Saccharomyces cerevisiae S288C: one gene and its partner. Changing the gene in region 1 together with any one later gene gives a genetic interaction. Each region holds a gene or a part of one and is shown on either strand. Other genes may lie near its edges.

Evidence for each region.
Region 2: mutations in KAR5 (region 1) and PRM3 together harm fitness more than expected from each alone (negative genetic interaction), as found in Saccharomyces cerevisiae (2 studies listed by BioGRID).

What each region holds. Positions count from the first base shown.
Region 1 is NC_001145.3:393,244-405,940, reverse strand, and holds KAR5 (Kar5p), read right to left. Parts: upstream 6,240-12,697; coding exon 4,725-6,239; downstream 1-4,724. Other genes in the region: UBX4 (Ubx4p), read left to right, coding at 368-1,618; SOV1 (Sov1p), read right to left, coding at 1,704-4,400; AEP1 (Aep1p), read right to left, coding at 6,482-8,038; RIM9 (Rim9p), read right to left, coding at 8,145-8,864; ARG7 (glutamate N-acetyltransferase), read left to right, coding at 9,562-10,887; cleavage polyadenylation factor subunit RNA14, read right to left, coding at 11,153-12,697.
Region 2 is NC_001148.4:177,163-184,954, reverse strand, and holds PRM3 (pheromone-regulated protein PRM3), read left to right. Parts: upstream 1-1,898; coding exon 1,899-2,300; downstream 2,301-7,792. Other genes in the region: MIY2 (ubiquitinyl hydrolase 1), read left to right, coding at 276-1,358; RSA1 (Rsa1p), read right to left, coding at 2,407-3,552; DDC1 (Ddc1p), read right to left, coding at 3,840-5,678; APL5 (Apl5p), read right to left, coding at 5,934-7,792. UniProt on the Saccharomyces cerevisiae protein: Required for the fusion of nuclear envelopes during mating, ensuring proper karyogamy. Plays a role in the initiation of outer nuclear envelope fusion.

The DNA of each region.
Region 1 (12,697 bases):
CATGTTTATGCAGTGTTGTACAAGCGTTTTTAAAGAAACTGTATAATATTCAAGATAGCGGGCGCCTCAACCGCTGTTTTGCTCCTCTTTTCTCTTGGAACTCTTGCCAAGAAAGATGTACGCCTTATAAAACGCTAGATGCTATTTCTTGCAACTTTATTACAAAATTTCAGCACTATTTCTTGCAATCCTAGATGTTTCCCTGTCTTCTATCTTCGATGTTAATTTAGACGTTTCTTCAAAGATTCAAGTTCTCTTTTATTGTACTATGTGTGGCAAAAAAAAAAGAAAACCAAAAAATGCAAAAACTAAGATAAATCTACGTACTGCGAAGAATAGCAAGGCAGACTAATAAGCGCACAATACAATGCCTATGGTTACCGTGAAGTATAACTTCCAACTTTTCAAATGTAAAGTTTCGTTGAATTCAACACTAAACGATGTGTTACACCAATCCATACAATTCTTTCAACTGCACACCTCGTCAAACGACTGGTCATTGATACATTTGGATAAACCGGTGCCATTAGATTTGCCATGGAGGCTTCTAAACTTACCAACGGGTGTCAACTTAGAATTATCTAAAAGTAGTAATTTTCCGGTGGCGAATAAGACCAACCGCGAAGATATTCCATTCAATACGATCAAAATACGGTTTCAAATCCCAGGAAGAGATTCCGTGGTTAAAGAAATGCCATCTGACCAACCAATTGCCCCTATCTTGCGACAGATGAGCGGCGCTGCGGGAGATGATTTTAAGATCCAGGTCTTTTCCAAGATAATAGAGTTCAAAACAATTAAGGATGAGAATTTGACTCTCGAAAATTTAGGGATTCAGGAGCCTTCGTCAGTTAGATTGATTTTTAATAATACATCTCATTCTGAGGGCATTAGCGCTAATAGCGCTATTCACCCAAAACAAACTCCCCCTACGATGACGAACCCGGAAACGGTTGCTTCACTACCACCTCACGAACTACATAAACCTTCTGTGTTTTTGCCCTCGGATGAGCCATTAGCAGTTATCAAGGATCAAATCGAGGATGAAGAAGATTATGAATTGACAGTAGAACAAGCCAAGAAATACCAAAAAATGTTATCATCGAAGGCTGGTACTTTGGGTGGTCCTATTTTGACAAAGAGACTTAGAGAGCAATCAGCCAACAACTTGCCAAAGAAAAATAAGGCTATATCTGAGTGTTTGCTGAGAGTCAAGTTCCCCGATAGAAGCCATATTCAAATAGCATTCAAACCCAATGAAGACATGCGTACAGTTTATAACGTCGTGTCGCAGTTCCTGATCGATGAGAACATGCCTTTTACGTTAAACCAATCTCATCCTTTCAAACCCTTGGCTAAAGACGATAAGAAGCTACTGGATGACCTGGAATTTGGCTCTAAAACAATGCTGCTTTTTGAAACAAATTCAAATTCTAATGGCCCATTAATAAAGGCTCATCTTTTGGAAGACGCACAAAAAATCACACACGAAACGAGGACAACCCCATCAGTTAATACGATAAATAAATCCAATCCACAGGGCCCTTCTGATAACGCTACAAGTATCAAAAAGACTTTAAATAGAGTACCTAAATGGATGAAATTAAGTAAAAAATAAATACAAAGCTAAACAGTCTCCTCTTTTAACTTTATTACAAATATGTACACGTATAGCTAAAATTATATAAAATGCATCCGTTTTTTTAGGCTTTTATCTTTAACTTATTTACATCTTCTATTAATTCTTCGAGTAAAGTAAACTCTGTTCCTAATTCTTTAAAAGCATCTTCTACCATCAAGAAAGTAGAACAATCACTTTTTTCCTTCCATTTTATAAAGATCAAAATCTCCCTGATCAAATGGGATATTGTATTCTCTTGATTTGTACCCTGTGGAATGTTTTTTAAGATTGACTCATTATTCATTAGCTCCGCCTTCCGTAACTTGTACTCACAAGCATCTTTACTGATGTTACTAATATCTCGTAAATATTGTCTTTTCAAACCCTTTAGAATATACATACTCAAATCGTAATCAATATTCAAGTCAAATTTTTTCGTTAGAAACGTTAATATGGCAGGTATTGCTTCTAAATCCCCGCTTTTCATGAACGTGGACACAATTAATTTAGAAAAAGTTTTGTCTGGCAAAATTTCACCATTTTCTGCCGTCATTTGGAACAATACTCTTGGGTGACAAGTTGGGTGAATCTTTATCTGCCTTTTTATTAATTTCTTTACAATGGACGACTTTTTCGATAAAATCCTAGAATTATTTTGTAAAACATGATAATAATGGCAATACACAGACCAAATCTTGTGGTACAGCGGTTTTGTTATGATGCGACGGTTGTAAAATCGGCAAGGGTTTGAGGTGGATAATGAAGACTCAGAGCTCACCTGTTGTTTGGATTCAAGTAGCGGATTGATGATCTCAAAACTTGAATTAAAGTCATACATGCTATCATAAAAATTGAGTATTTCTCTCAAAAAAACAGCATTTGGGATAACCTCTGACTCCTGCATTCTTTTTAAAAGTGACTTCACTTTCTGCTTAAATTCCTTTTTTCTAAATGAGGGCGTATTTTGTGCCTTCATATTTTGAATTTGAAGACTATAAAATTCAACAAATTTAGCGTAATGATATGCATTAACTTCCGAATAAAACTGATTATAGAGTAAATCTGGATCTGTTTTTGATTTCTTTGAGGCTTCTTCTAGTTTTTTTAAGATATTATATGCTTTTTCTTCTTCACCTGTACCGAGAAGTATGTTCAACAAGCCATTAAACTTTCTGGAACGTGACACACTGTTTAATTCCATCCACTGTCCAGAAGCCTGTTTAGTAATGAACTCTTCCAGAAAATCAGTTAATACAATACTTTTTGTTAAGGCCGAAACATTCTCAAACAGCAATTCATTGTATATTGGAGAATTAGTGTTATACTTAGTAATAACGCTCTCAAATGCCTCTTGCAACATTTTCACATTATTCTCAGGCACTACATAATCTTTATTTTGAGCAAAAATGTTTCGTAGCTTTTCAAAATCTTTCAACATATTTAGCTTGGTTTTAACAAGTAGAAATGCGGCATCTTCTTGTGTCGTTCCAGGTATTTCCATGTACTTGCTGATAAGTTGAGCCGCCATGGGAATATTTCTCTTATAAAGATGGAAATCAACAATGCTGATATAATCATGATCCGATGGTATTTCTAGTTCATTTAAGAACTCAGTTGCATGTTTCTCATTCTGAAAATTTTTAACTCCCGTGGGAAGTTCCTCCTGCTCATCTTTCATTCTGATTATTCCAACTTCTTCCACTAACTTAATAAATCGATCAGTCAGTATATTAGCTTCAGTAACATTGCCAATCGACAAATATTTTCGTATGCTCAATTTGGTAACTCTTGGGCTCAAATAAGAATACTTTGTTGAGTACTTTGCATCTGTCTCGGCTAAAAGTTTCCTGAAGTTTCTCAAGTGGTTAGACCTTAATGTGATCATTAATCCTAGTTCATTCCACCAGCGCTCGTTTACTTTGTCTTTATTGGTAATAAATAAACTGTATGCAGCCTTATAGTTTCCAAAAACTAGTAGGGATTCAATATAGAATGACTCATTTATAGGATCTAAACGAACTTTCCCTGTGCCATAAAGTAAATTTCCGACCAAGTAAATCCCTTTCTCCTTCATTTCTTGCACTGGTATCAATTTAACAACTTCAAAAGCTTGAGCAAGTTGGCTGAATGTGACCATTTCTGTTATTGACTCTTTCGGTTTGATTATGCCATTAAACCGTTCATTAAAACTTTTCAAAATCTCCAGTAAAAATGATGTACTCCTTAACGGTATATGGCCCTCTTGATCTTCAAATTGTTCTTGTGCTGATCGGAAAATATCGTTCATTATGGATTGCTCTAAGTCATCTTCATTTCCTTTCTCTTCATTGTATACCTGGGTTTGGCCGGTCGTGTTCAATCTTTTGATTTCTAAATCACACTCTTCGAGCAAATAATTGAAAACTGCATTAATTTTTACGGTGCTATTAGAGTCCTTGCTTTCTAAGGTTTTTTTTAATCTGTTTAAATTCTTGTTACTTCTTTTAAAGTTAGTTTCATTACAAAATTTCAGATATTGAATGAACGTTTCCTGGATAGTATCAAGAGGATTGATCTCCTGAAATTTCTTATTACTGAGAAGATTATTTTCGATTTCCTCTGATGTTTTTCCTTTCAAAATGAGACATTTTTCTGGTTCGTCTGGCCCTATGATGGTCTTATTAAGAACTTCAGGTATATGGGAGGCATAATTCAATGGCGCCCGCTTCAATCTATAAAAACGAATCTGAGACTTTGCTATCAAAGCGCTGCTACAGAGTGAGCGGTTGTATTTGAACATGAGTTATAAATATAGTATGGCCTTGTTTAATACGTTACTACTACCTAATGAATACTACCTGTGCCCATGATATAGAATCTCAAGATCTTTTTGCTTCGTCTTCAATGATAAAGCTGTAGGTGCTGCACTCGAACTCTCTTAAGCAAATTAACTTGGATAGTGACGTAGGACACCTTCTCTAGGTTCACTTGCCCGTATTATGGCCACCATGATCCGGTGTCCTTGAATTTTTAAAGAATATTTATTTTGCTAGACTTTGAATGCGGCTATATACCTATACATCTATGTATATATAGGCTTTCATATATTGTTACATCGGTAATGTTAAAAATCAATCAATGAGCCAGTCTTAGCTCCTAGATAAATTGAAAGTAGAAGAGCTGCCCATTGGTAATAGCGTTTAATAGGAATCATTTTGACGTTTACTCGAGACGTACGGTATTTTGACCAAATCCACACAACGGAGCACAGTAACCAGTAGTATTTATTCTTGACTGCAAGGTACCCACATCTTATAATCATTTTACTAGTTTTCCACATAAAATCCAATACCCTCATCATTGTCATGACATTTTTATGGACAAGTGAGACTCTGATTTCAATGTCGTCTAATTTTTTTTTTGTGCCATTCAGTTTCTCTGAAATATCATTAAAAGTTGAAAAAATCTCCTCATTCCATAAAGCAAAATCTCCATTTAGTGTAGATGTTATAGCTGTCCATTCTTGTAGTAAGGTATTTTTGAAGTTCGTCATCTCAGGTACTATCTCATCCGTCATGGATGGTAACAATGAATCATGAAGGATGGAATTGAACCCTTGCAAGAGCTCTATAGCTTCCATTTGTGATTCAGAAAGATCCTTTGACATGCCTCCTAACTGTTTTTTTAAACCCATCGAGAAGTTTTCCAACTCGGTATTAACTAACTTGTTATTTCTAGAGTAATATTCTTTTACGTCGTTGGACATTTCCACTAGGTCCTGTAAATTATTCAGGCTGTCGTCCTTCAAGTCATTTATCTTAGATTTTATGTCATTTTTAGCAAGCTCATCGGCTAGATCGCTCATAATATGATGGACGGTATCAACTTCATTCATTAGTTGACTGTTCTTCTCTATGATTTGGACCTCTAGTTGTTCGGAAGTTTCATAGAGTACATCATTCACTTTATTTCTAAAAAATGAGAGGTCGTTTTCTAAGATTATTCGATTGCTTTCGGTCGCATTTCGCAGTTCATTGTCATAGTTGCGGAACATCCTGGCCAGATCGTCCAAAAAATTTTGAGAATCTTGCTCCATTTGAAACATCAGATGATTTAACTTAGTATCGACATCATCCCCAAATGAATCATAAAGTTCAGTGATATTTAGAAAAAGTTTCAGTATCTGTTCTTTTTCAAAAGGAAGAAGATTTTCATAACAAATACTCGATAGTCGCTGATAATTTCCACTATAAGTTGTCCACCACTGTGAAGATGATTCTAGTTCAAACATACAATCCATCATTGATCCTAGGTCGTCAACCATGCAATTTTCTGGTATTTCGCCCAAGCCAGATGCCTGAAACTCGCATATTGAAAGTTTAATGGCCGTTTCTACCCTTGTTTCAGCGTCAATGGATTCAAGTCCATTTGCAATACATTGTGGCAAAAATAATTTTAGTGCGTCTTTAACACATGTTGATTTCAAGAATGGAAATTTGGATTCTAATACATTTGTCGCAACGGAATTATCTGTGTATATCAATCTTCCTTGCAGCAGATTGTTGATTTTTCCTAGTTCGGAGCTTGAAACAAACTTAATACAAATTGCAAACAAATAGACGTAGCGCATTTCAAACATTCAAAGTTTTTGAATAGAAACAGTTGTTGAACCAGAATATGTATACTTCATTGGTATTCCGAACCAGTGTTTATATATAGAAAATTTGTTCAGGATTAATCCCAAACAATTATGATAAAACAACCCGCTAGTGTGACACAGTTACAGTACGTATTCTTATTTACATTGTTTATTTGCGTGGAATGCGCAATTCCCTTTGCAGTGAGTTGCTCTTATGCTGCCTTTTTTTTAATATAGACGATTTATGGGCGTAAAGCTTCTCGTTCAGTGCAATTCAAATATTTCTCGATGAAGTACTTTTTAAATTCCTTATTATAACCTACAGCGCCCGTATTCTTAAGCGCGTGATTTCTCTCACTATTTTTGAGAGCCCTAATAATTTGTAGTTGGTATTTATGACTTAGTTTGATCTTATATGTATCTATCATATGAGCCATCATAGTGTAATTTCCTTGAAGTGCAAAAGACAGTATAAATTTCTCCACGAATTCGCTGGGCACGTTTTGTCCATATATTGGGCTCACTATATTGAAAACAGTGGATAGATTTCCGGAGTTGATCATTGGATCTTTAGTAAATGTTAATACTTTTTTGATAAAAATAGGTAAGGTGCTATCCACAGCCCGTTTTGCGTTATTGGATTTTCGAATAATATTTAGCAGAGAACACAATTCGTCGAAATGCCGGCACATAGGTATCAAAAATTTGAACAGGTCTATTGTTCCATAATTTTCTATTATGGGTGCAAGATCTGCTATGAATGCAAATTTGGATCTTATATCAAAAATCTTAGTGCTTTTATCGAAATGAACATCAATTGCCTCCAAATATCTATTAATGATAGTAGCCTCTGGTAAAATACCCTTTTTTATTAAATGGCCCAAAAAATTTTTGCTTTCATTCAAATTGCCGGTTTTAATGAAATATGATAATAGTTGTTCAATTACTATTGGGTGCAATGAATTTTCGCAACGCCCTGGAAAAAATCTGTTGTTGATCGCTGCCAATAGGTTTTCTAGTGCGGTAACCAATGTGGGACTGTACGGTGGGTTTTCATTTGCTTCCACTTTACAAAGGATATTATATAAAATAATGTTCATGGCCTTCATTTGGTCTAAACGTGAATATAATTGCATCTCAGTAACATTTATTAGTAGTATAAGTTTTTCAGTCGAGTTTCCATAATTCTTTATCAAATAAGCCAGTATATTCTCGCAAAATAATCTTGTCTGTTTACTGTCGCGGTCAAAAATATTCTGTAGTTCATTATTTACGGACTCGACCCTGGATTGCAAATCATTCGTGTTTTCAATCTCTGATAATATATTTTCAAGACCTCTTAATTTGGCAATATCGGTTGAAGACAAATGCAGAACGTGAAAAGATCTAACGCTTTTGCTCGCAGGTGTAAGTACAATATTTCTTTGATGTTGTCGTCTTGCAACGAATTCCATCAACCATTTATTCACTCCCCTAATATCATCAAACTTTAATTTGCTATCAACTAGTATGGTTTTTAGGCTCACCGGGTGTTTTATCAGTGATGGAGCAATTTTTTTGCCATCAAGCAGGCTAGGATTGTATTCCGTAGCGCATGCCGTGAATTGTTCTATTGCTGTTGGTTGGTAAAATGGGTGAATTATTTCTTCCGGATGAGGAACTTTATCGGCATGTTTAATGATCTTTCGACCGTCCGCTACTAAAGGAGTCTTTTTAAGTACTGGGTACCATTTGCGAGATTGCATCCTAATGAAGCACAGGTTTCTCCATTTGCTGATTTCTTGCACTGTAGTAATCATTTTCTAAGACCCTTAACAGATAGTGATGGAGGAAGAAAAAAATGTACAAATATTTGGAAGCCGATTGGCAAACCGATGTAACGTGCAAAATGACACATGATGTTACTTATTCAATGAACCCTCTATATGTCACTTCTGGAGCAATCAGACTATCTGTATGTGTTGGAGCCACTTCATATTCTGAGCTATTGCCGTTCTGTTTACTCTGGTAAATGTCGGAAATTGAGTACTGTTCCATTGAGCACGCATGCGCAATTGACTGTTGCGATTCATATTTTTTGACTGACACAACTCTTCTCATGACCCACAGCATGGAACAACAAAGTGCTACGCTAATAGTAGCGGCTAGCATTAGCCAGCCGGGCCAGTCCAGTTTGGAGATGAACAGAAGAATATCTACCAAAAAACATAAAAGACATAGCATGAACGTTGGCAGCGAAAAAAGGGCCGTGAACAATAACATCTCAGGTGAGTCCCCTAGTGGAGTTACCATGATAATCACTGCTAAAATTAATAGCGTTCCTGTGAATGCCAGTGAAATCGGGTGAACCACTAATAAATTGGAGACGACCACTTTTGAGTTCGATGGCAGGGTCAAAACGTGCCCGGAGGAGTCGACATCTGTACTGTCATATCCTATCTTCATTTTCGTGCACATCAATTCTTGGTTTTGACCACGTACACACCAGCCAAACAGGCCATAATAGTGGTTTCTGAATGACGATAACGATAGGTACTTGGTCACGGGGACGGTTATTAGCGGAAGTATTTCGAACATGGTTGTGATTGCTAGCAAAAACACCACAATATGGATCATGCTAACCATTCTCCTCTTTTCCTCAATGAATCTGTCTCAACCGTATAAATCTTTGTTTAGAAGGACGTCTCTACTCATTTCCCGGTTCTCAACGCTCATCACTATCTATCTATATTCATTGTTTCTTAGCTTATACTTGCGCGCGCCGCTGGTGAAAATCAAACTATAGCGAGATTCGACAATAAATTGGCAGTTACTTTTAGTGATAAAGAAAAGTCATGTTTTGTATATAGTCATAGCATGCTGTGTTGTAAATGTGATCTGTCTGAGACGTGTCAGTAGATCATAAATTTACAAACATTAAAATACATTTTTCATCGCTGTATAGCAAAAGTAATCTTATACTTTGTTGGTATGCTGAAGTAAAACACAGGGCTCTTGGCTTCACCCCCACGCTGTATCATAGAATAAAGAGAGTAGTGATGCAATAGGGCCGTGGTTAGACCCAAATTGAAGGTAGCGTTGATAGTAGTACTAAGTGAGAGTGCTTAGCAATCATTATTGACGGTGTTTTCTTGGCGAAGGTCTTTTTCTACTGCGATGGACAGGTAGGATGACTCACTGCGTAATTCGTTGCCAACTTCTTTAGTCGTCGAGTATATAAAAGCCTCATCCTCGGCTCGCCGCACAAAGGTGACGATTTTTGGGCTAGTATCAGCAATACTTCTATTCCCTTTATTTAAAGAAGTCCAAAATTCAACATAGCATGAGAATATCATCAACATTGCTTCAACGCTCGAAGCAGCTTATAGATAAGTATGCATTATACGTGCCCAAGACGGGCTCTTTTCCTAAAGGATTTGAAGTAGGCTACACTGCATCTGGAGTCAAAAAAAACGGGAGCCTGGACCTGGGTGTAATCTTGAATACCAATAAATCTCGTCCTTCAACCGCAGCAGCTGTTTTCACGACCAATAAATTCAAAGCTGCGCCAGTTTTGACATCGAAAAAAGTCCTTGAAACTGCTCGTGGTAAAAACATCAACGCTATTGTAGTCAATTCCGGTTGTGCTAACTCGGTCACAGGTGATCTTGGTATGAAAGATGCCCAAGTAATGATTGATTTGGTTAACGATAAAATTGGTCAAAAAAATTCTACCCTAGTCATGTCTACAGGCGTTATTGGACAACGACTACAGATGGACAAGATCAGCACTGGTATCAATAAAATTTTTGGAGAAGAAAAGTTCGGCAGTGATTTTAACTCTTGGTTGAACGTAGCCAAATCAATCTGTACTACTGATACTTTCCCAAAATTAGTTACATCTAGATTCAAATTACCTAGTGGTACTGAGTATACTTTGACAGGTATGGCAAAGGGCGCGGGTATGATTTGTCCGAATATGGCTACCTTATTAGGTTTCATAGTTACAGATCTTCCTATTGAAAGCAAGGCGTTGCAGAAGATGCTGACTTTCGCTACTACCCGTTCATTTAATTGTATATCGGTGGACGGTGATATGAGCACCAATGACACAATTTGCATGTTGGCCAACGGTGCTATTGACACCAAAGAAATTAACGAAGACTCTAAAGATTTTGAACAAGTAAAATTGCAGGTCACAGAATTTGCTCAGCGCTTGGCCCAGTTAGTCGTTCGCGATGGTGAAGGTTCGACAAAGTTTGTTACTGTTAACGTTAAAAATGCTTTGCATTTTGAAGACGCCAAAATAATTGCTGAATCAATCTCAAACTCTATGTTGGTCAAAACCGCACTATATGGGCAAGATGCCAATTGGGGAAGAATATTGTGCGCGATCGGGTATGCAAAGCTGAATGACTTAAAATCTCTAGATGTCAACAAAATTAATGTTAGCTTTATTGCTACCGACAATTCAGAACCTCGTGAGCTGAAGCTTGTCGCTAATGGTGTGCCACAATTGGAGATCGATGAAACAAGGGCTTCTGAAATATTGGCTTTGAATGATTTGGAAGTGTCTGTCGACTTGGGAACCGGTGATCAGGCAGCACAATTTTGGACTTGTGATTTATCACATGAATATGTAACAATTAACGGTGATTACCGTTCATAAATTCATGTATATTTTGTTCAATCTTTCTTTTATAAGCATGGTTATATAAACGCACAGAAACAGAGTGTTTCCTGTACCTTCTGAATGAGTTTGGCTATTGCCATATTTTTGAAAGAATTAACTATTTCCGTTTTTATTTATGTACGAGGCACCTTAACTATCCTGTCACATCGTTTTTTTTTTACTTAATTACATACAGAGGTTCGCCTATTATAATAGATGTGTTGGTATAAATATTCATATATACCTATTTATTAACGTAATGTTAACCTGACTTGGTGCTCTCAACTGTTGGAATCTCTACTTGATCATTTAAAAAATTCACCAATTTCTGCGCATCGAGTAAATTTGTATTAAAATATTGACGTTTTGGTATAACGCTCAATAAATCAAGAACCTCTGTTGGAAGCTCTGAGTCTCTTTTGAATTTCTTATTGGAGAAGTTTCCATTGTTTCCAGTTTCCTCCATTAGTCTCTTTCTATCTGACGAACTCATATTGTAAGAGCCATGATGGCCATCCCCGTTTCCAGAAGAAAAGTAACTGTCTTCTTCCTCATTATACATATAAGTTAACTCTAATTTCTTTATTAAGTTGGAGTTTTGAATTTGATAACGACTTGTGAAAACTTCAATCAAATTTTCTTGGGGGAACCGTTCGAAAAATCTTTTCTCTAGAGAATAAACGTTGTTTAAGTTACCGAATTTCGATTCATAACTTATCATTTTCTTGTATATTTCCTTCAGCTGGGTTAAATCTTGCACTTTTTCCACTGATGTTTCAAATAAGGTTTTGATCTGCGAATCCTTATTTAAAAATATTAAAAAATCTAAGTATTTGTTGATATAAACTCCATCGTTTTGGAAGTATTTTAAACCCAATTCTAAAACCTTAAAAGCAGTCTTATAATCGTTTTGATTTTGAAATTCTAAATATGCATTTTCCACGTAGACGTCATGTGTTAATATACGCTTCAGTTTACGACATTTACCAAATACAGTACGTGCTGCGGATAGTCCTGATATTCTTTTCATCGTATTCATATACACGCAAAACACGAATGTTAATTTTTCCCTCTGTTTGTATAGCAGCTCTTGTTCATACTCTGTGTTATTATCTTCACCCGAATTTACATCGGAGGCGATCTTTTTATACTGCGATAGTAAAGTTTGAGTGCACTTGTCAAAACAGTTAGAAACACTTTCAGAATCATTATCCAGTTCGTAGCATTCGGATAACTTGAATGTAAGAGAAGGTGAGTCGGGATTAGCTAATAACGCAGTATATAAGATATTTTGTCGATCCGAATTTTCAGATATATACATTGAATAATCGTACCACATTTCAGCAGAAAATATCATGTATTGAATACCTTGTTTATAAACGTAACTGATTCTTTGTGATAGCATATCTTCACTAAGCATCAACTTATTCTCCCTTTCCCATTTTATCCAATTCAACCAAATCTGTAACTGCTGAATGTTTGAGTCTGAGGTACCTGGTTGTGGTATGTTTTTCTTGTTTGCTGTGCGCAGATTAATTGGAGATGCCCTTTTCAATCCATTAGTAACGTTCAACCATTCCTGGTATAAGGAACGGGCTTTCATGTATTCGGCTGATAACTCGCCAATAAATTTTCTGGCTGTTAGGGAATTTATTTCTTGTTCCCATTGAGTGTATCTATTCCACATTTTTTCTAGATTATCAAAAGGAACACATAGCATTTTCTTGTAGAATTCTCTGAGCATGTCAATTCGCTGTTGCTCCTCCCATTTGTTGAATGGCTTCCACTGCTCTAAAAAATTGAGATA
Region 2 (7,792 bases), on another chromosome or scaffold:
AAAATTGCTTTGTAAACAGATTATTAAGTACCGCTCTATTTACCCCATAACGAAAAGAAGTTCCGCGCTTAGGACACCTTTCCCTAGAGGTTCTTGTTTGATTTGTTTTAGTCATCTGCCTGTCGTTTATTTTAGTTTCGCAGTATTAACAGCGAGCAGTACGAAAAAAGGGTCTTGAAAACGTTGGACAAAATGCCCATTCTACAAGGCGCTTTAAAGAACAGCTCAAAGTAGATTCACATCACTGCAATTCTTGTTTATTGCAATATCTTTTCATGGATTTAAGTTTCACGACTAAAAGTGTCAAAATTAATGGTCAAAACCATCGAATATTACTGCAAAACGAAAACGGACCTTGTGCCTTGTTAGCACTTGCAAATATTCTAATACTTTCACCAGATCATACACGTTTTTCCAATGAGTTAATAAGGTTGGTAAATAAGGGAAGTCAAATATCTTTAAAAGAACTTATTGAAGTCTTAGCAGATATCGCTTTACAAGTTACAGATAAACCTAGTACTGATATAAGTGAGTTACTAAGTTTGTTACCTAGATTACATGAAGGTTTAAATATTAACCCTGAGTTTAATGGGTCTTTTGAAAATACTAAAGAGATGTCAATATTTCGATTGTTTAACGTTGATGTTGTCCATGGCTGGGTTATCAACAGTTTCATAAATGAAAACATTGATGAGAAACTATCTCATTATTCTTATGAATCTGCGCAGAGAATCTTAACACAAGCAGCTGATATAAATTGTGGAATTTCCCAAGATGAAAACTCGGACGAAGTTTTACGTGATGCCATGCATTTGGGTCTGTTTTTGAACGAATCACCGACTCAGTTGACCGCCTTTGGACTCCTACGATTGAGAGAAAAGCTGCTACACAACAAATTCTCCATTTTATTCAGAAATGACCATTTTTCTACATTGTTCAAATACGAAGATCGATTATACACATTGGTTACGGACTTTGGTTATAAAAATTGTAAAGATATTGTATGGCAATCCCTAGATTCGGTGGACGGCTCCTGCGATGCTTTTTTTGCCGGTAACTTTAGTGCAGCAGAGGTAAATGGACAGCAATTGTCAACTGACATTGAACGTGATTTTGGAACTGGAAATTTGCTACTTGAAGAAATTCAGCAAATTGAAAACGATAAAGAACTAGCCAAACAGTTACAGGAACAAGAACAAGAACGTGTTACGAAATTTGAAGCAAAAAGGAAAATCCATTCTCACAAAAAAAACTCAGAAATACACGCACCAGTCAAAAAAGACAAGTTTAAGCGAAGAAGCAGCCTTCTCAATGCAAAAGCTTCTGAAAAAGAGAAAAGTGAGTGCGTTGTTATGTAAGAGCTGTTCACTTGTTTTTATCGTATATCCTCGCGTAAAACATGATTAATCAATCTGTTCGCTTTAAGGAAGATCTCATAAGGACACCGACTCTCTAATTATTCTGGAGATATGTGGACCCCTACAGGCGTGATTTTCTGTCTAAACATTGCCACATAAAACAGGCTTGACATTATATTGGCCATTTGATTTATACTTGTTTCAGATCCTTTGTCGGGCCGGATTCTAAGAGCGCGCGCGAGGCGTCGAAATAAATCAAATAAGAACTAAAATACATAATTCTTGTCACAATGGATTGAATTTCAGTGCATAAGATTACATTTGTCGGAGCTATAATTCCATTACGGCAAAACAGAACTGAAACAAGTATATTGGCTATCTCTAGTATAAATTGTTGTAAAACTGACATCATATGGAACCAAAGTAGTAGACTCGCATTTGCAAACATATTTAAAATACTTGGAATAGATTTCACCAGCCTCAAGATAAATTTATAAACACATTAAATAACTAATAAATATATAAATACTTCTCCAAAAAATGACAGCAATGAAAGAAGACAACGCTGCATTGATTACACTGAAGAAAAACAACGACCAAGAAAAACTTAGAGTGCATAAACTGACAGATGCAAGTTCAAACTCTGCTGATGGGTTCGTTATAAATAAAGCCAAAAACGGTGGACCGCTTAATAAAAAGTCATTAGTTAATAATGAACAACACATTAAGAAGGCTGTGTCGCCTGGTAGAGTCAGGAAGCACAAAACGACAACATCTTCCACAAAATCACGAACGAAAAGTAAGAAAAAAGACGCTTCTGAAAGTAAAGTACAGAGAGAGAATAAGGGTTCATTTTACCAAGGTGCCATTTTCGGTTCGTTCCTTGGTGCTGCTGTAACTACTGTTTTAAGTAACCTAGCAGTTAAAGCTCTTCAAAATTAGTTTCATATACTCATGATTTCTAAACAGTAATTAGTTTTATCTGACTTATTTTTTTTTACGCACCTTTGCATGTACTCTTCCATGTATATCAATATTTGCTATTCTATTACTTATTTCTAGTAAAGTTGGCTCTACTCAGATTAGGTTTCCTGTTTTTGTAATTTGGTTTGTAATGATTTTTATTATTATCTTCAGAGCTCCCAAAAAGTACATCTTTTTCTTGTTGAGATAGCTCATATTCAAGTAATCCTACATCTCCCAATTCTCTTATAAAGTCCAAAAGTTGGGAGTTTTCGTTTGCGAATTCTCGCTGTATCAATTTCAAGTTCAAGTCAATCTTCGGATTTCCTCTCTGCACTTGATTTTGAATACTCTGTATAAATTGCTTTTCTTTCCTTGACTCTTTGAAAATGCTAGGTTGGCTCTTCAGTTCATCTTCCTTTATGCCCATTTCTTGCATATGTTTCTGTTTGTTATTGGATATTTTCAGTAGCCACATTTTTTTTCTTTCTTCTCTCCACTTTTTAACATCTTCATCAGTAATCAATGCTATGGAGGTTCCAGGAACCAAAACCACCTTACCCAACCCCTCTGATTCTAACTGCTCATCACGATCATCATCTTCTAGCCCTAAGTTATTATGATCATCTTCGGCATTAGAATTTGCCAGCTCGGGATCCTTTCTTGGGATTTCTGTAGGCTCCGCAGATGCTTGATCCTTGCTTGATGGTACTGGACTTATTTCATTCATAAACGTATCTTTCCCTCTGTTTTTCTCAATCAATTGTATTTCCTTTACGGTCGGTATTGCAACATCTTCATAACTAATTGATGTTTGGTAATCTTTATCATTCTTTAAGGCTTGAGTGTTTTCACAATATGATGATGGCCACTTCTGTAAATTAAGCGCTGGTGCATAAGATATATTCTGATGAACTGGCGGTATGTAATTTTCTGTATAATTGGGAGGACTCGTATAATTGTACTGAGTGGACGGTTGTATTGGATGGAAATATTGATTATGAGGGGCTACATGATGAAGTTGAGGAGTATAACCGGTATTCCATGAACCTTCATAATACGGAGAGTTCGGATACATATGAGGTGAGTAAGCTGCATTAAAAGCAGAGTCTGTTTTTTGCCTTTTAATTTTCGATTCATCATAGCCATCTGATAGCGTTCCGGAGTATGTAGGTTTGGGAAGCCTAGAATGTCCATCACCCTTCGAATTTTCAAAGTTATTATAATTCATAGTCCATGTCGCAATAAGCTAATCAAAATGGAAAAAGAGATTGACTTATGAGTTAAATATAATAGCATCAATGAAATTTTTAAGTTCCTATTAAGTAAAAAGCTATGCAATATAGAGATATTATGCTATTGAAAATTTTAGTTTGTTCCCCGACCGTGATGGACCATCAGCCGCACGCTCACCAAATTGAGACAGAAAAAAAAAAAAAAACAGCGATCGATATTATCATGATAATTGCTACTTCATCTAATATTTACACGCCTTTATACTGATTTTGCATTATGGTTTTAGTCAAATATACCCCTTGGCTTTTCTACTTGTGTTAGACCCAGCCCATCTTCCATCTCTTTATTGTCCTGTTTCTTGTGATTACTTGTGTCATTCTGGGAATTCAACAGACCTTGCATATGCTTCAATTTTTCTTTCTTGAGCATTCCTTTTCTATCGATATTGCTGCATGAAACCTCATCATCTGCAGCTGGTAACGCTTTTCCCCATGTCACAGTGGTGTCTGCCCTTTTTGCAAATGTAGATTGTTGGGTGGGGTCTTCAGTTTCATTACAAATATCTGCTATGGATCTTTTTAAAGAATTGCTCTCATTACGTGGACAGGCCACTTCATGAGTCGTACCAATGTCAAAACTTTGTTCCCGATTCATGTTCATATGAACTGAACTAGCCTGCCGGAACCGCTTATCTTGTTCGTAATTCGTACTTTGGCTTTGTTCTTCCACGAATAATTTTCTTGCCGTGTTATTTCTATAGGTCTTAGCAACTGTGCTTCCATTATCAGGGGTCAGATACGACACTTTCAAAGGACTGTTTCGAGTTCCAGCCACAGAGTGTGGCAGGTTTTCTCTCTTTAAAGCAGTTTTGCTTTTTAATGGACTTTCGCAGCTTTCTTTGTTGTCTTTCAGTCCGGCCTCTTCTTTGGAGCCAGAGATTGCTGTTTTTATGAATTTTCCTTCTAAAATATCATCGTTAATGTTACTGTCAGTAACTTCAACCAATTCTAATTTTACGCCCGGTTTTTGCATTTGCATAAGAATAGGGTCCCCTGGGTGGCAAAACCATAAACTTATATTATCATTTCCGTCCTGGGTAGTCTTCCAGGATGGACCTATCGTTATGAAGTTTTTGAAGTCCTTCAATTTGAATATTATACTTTTCATATGCTCTCTACGCTTACTATGTGATCGCTTATCTTGTTTTTCATCTTCGATTGTTGTAAATAAGCAATAATGCTCAAGATCGAGCGTACTGATAGTGTTACTCATGCTTAACGCATTTCTTAAAAGGTCGTTATTTTTGCCGTAGACGGCCTTGGTGAATGCAGTTATGCTTAGCCTATGTACGTTAATTTCCAATTTTACTTCATCGGTTACATTAACATTGCAGTTGTCTAAAAAATTCTTCAATAAAGTTGAATTACAACAAATGTAATTAATCTCATCAGCAGCCGTTAACTGATTCCTTTTACGTATGTCTGATTCCACTTCTTCGTTAAATAAGGCTGATGTTAGCTCACGCTCTGTATTTGTAAAAACGTCCAATAGCTTAGGGTCCAAGGGCTCCTGTGGATTCCGATCGGAGGCAGCAGTTCCAAAAACATCCAAAAACCTCCTTTTGTACTTAAGGTTGATTATTATGGGATCGTATTTTATTGGCTGGAATTGGGGACAGTATTCTTTGACTATTAACGAATCCATTTCAATCACCACAATCAATCTATTTGCAAGTGATTCAGGACAGGTAGAAGTGTTGTTTACCGCAATTGTGAATGATTTGATGCCATCACCATCCGGCTTTCTTGATATAGTTGTTAGGTGTCTTCCATTAACACGGAAGGAGTATAACTTATGACTATTGCCGTACGTATCTTCTATAACTTGAACCCCATTTTCTCCAAATACAATCTCATGTGGTTTAAACTCATACTCCTCAAAAAAGCTTTTCTGAAACCTAACCTGACAAAGAGTAGTATCTGTCTCGTTCATTGACCAAGCAATTAACTCATTTGTTGTCACTGTAATCTTGATATCATCCTGAATTGTAGATAACACATATATCGCACGAAACCAGATATTCTGCTTCCCCGACTCGGTGATAGTTGCCTTAAATGACATATATGTCTAAGCAAAGTTATGCTGTGTTATTGTTACACTAGCAATAGTATGTCAAATAATTTTGCAAATCATCTCTGGTCTATGATTACCTTTGGCGGCCTTTGATTCATTCGCGTCATTATTAAATATGCCGTCTCTTTCGGCAAATTGAGTGCACCGCAATAATATACTATGCAGAATAAAATACTTAAATTAATTATAGTTTACGTACGTAATCGCTGTCATTGAGAATTCACGACTTCGATTTTTTTATCGTTAAATGTCAGTGCTTTGGTCTCGAAGAAATTCATTTGGTTCTGGAGAATTTTTTGCTTTCGTTTTTAGTTTGTTTTTTGACTTTGACTTTTTCCCTTTCTTCTTCTTTTTTATAACTATAACTTCTTCAGTATCACTTAAATTATCCTTTTCATCTTTTACAATAAGATTGGCCTCTAAACGACTTAATTCTAACTCGTCTTCCTTTCTAAGGTTGCCCTCTTCCTGCGATCCTCTTCCTGCGTTACTCGATTGCCCAAAATTGGAAAAATCAAAATTTTCAAGTTGAGAGTGCATTCTCAGATTAATCTTGTCCTTTTTCAAAGGATTTTGAGTTGAATGATTATCATGGGGTTTCTGGAATGCATCTTTCCTTTTGGGAGCGGCTTCGATAACAGGTTCATCGGATAAGACTTGAACCCTATTTTTCTTCTTTCCCTTCTTCTTCTTTCTGCTGATTTCAGTTGTAGATAAACTTAGAGAATTCAACGAATTATCGGTTCTATTTAATCTAATAGTTTCTGGCTTTTTATCACTACTTTCCTCCTCATTCAAGTCCAACAAATCTTTAGAGTTCTTAGTTCTTTCTTCGTCTTCTTCACCTAGATAATAAGGATTTGACATCCGTTCCTTTTCTCTCTCAATCTCAAATGGATTTTCAAAATCATCCAATTTTTCCTTTTCTTCATACGAAGTATCAGAATCATCAACGAATTTTAGTTCAACTTGCTCGTCCATTGAGATATCAGACATTAAATCACTGATGGCGTCACTTTTTTGTTCATCTAAGAGTTCATCAGCTGCCTCCTTTGTCAAAAATGGAGTTTCTAGATCAAGATTCTCATCTACTGCTAACTTCAATTGAGTCCCACGCGCAATTGGTGCGAGTTCATAGGCGTTAAAAAAACTAGGCAGGACTTCGCTCAGTAGCATTGGTAGACCTTCCGTATCCTCCTCTAAAGCCTCCAAACTTAGTCTTAAAAATTCTAAAACTTCTACGCTTCTTTCCTGGACTTCGAATGTACTCGAATAAGATAAATTTTCAAAAAATTCAATTAGCTCTTTTAACACCATTTTAATTTCAAAGCGTTTATCCTCCTGAAAGTTATTACACCAATTACTAAATACTTTAACAAGTGCTAAAATTAAAACTTCTTGTACACTATGAGAATAATAACTGATATTCTCAGTCATGATTTTTATTAAGTCGTTACCATTTTCAACTAGGGTAGAAAATTCTCCGAGACACCAAATGCATTCTCTCAATACGGTAGGCAACTGTTTGTTAATATTGTCATTTGAAATAAGCTTTATAATATTAGCAATGGTTACTTCTCTCATTGAAGGAACTTTTATCATCAAATTCCTAAACTGTTCACCAATTTTTGATCCAAGGCTTTTATCAGATATGTCTTGACAGAGCATCGCCAAGTCCATTATTACTGCATTGTACCATTCAAAGTCGTTAACACTGGAATAGTTGTCAGCTGAACAAATCGATATAATGACGTTCACCATTTTTATCTTGTAATTTTCTGGAATTATTATGGGAATTCTCTTTGATTTTTCGTATACGATGCTTCCAGTTTGTAGGATAACCACATCTTCATCTACAAATTGCTTCATCAATGTTTGGACAATTGCCTTTAAGTTATCCTCATCAACAATACCTTCAACCAATTCAATTGCTTTTGATCTTATAGAAACGTCGACATCGGAGAGTAAGCGTATAATCAGTTGGTCGAACCGAGAAATAAAATCAGTATTGATTTTGCCGATCTTGTAAAACAATATGCAGCTAATATATCTCAAATTTGGATCCTGAGAATCACAAAATGTGTGCAATCTTTCCAGGCATG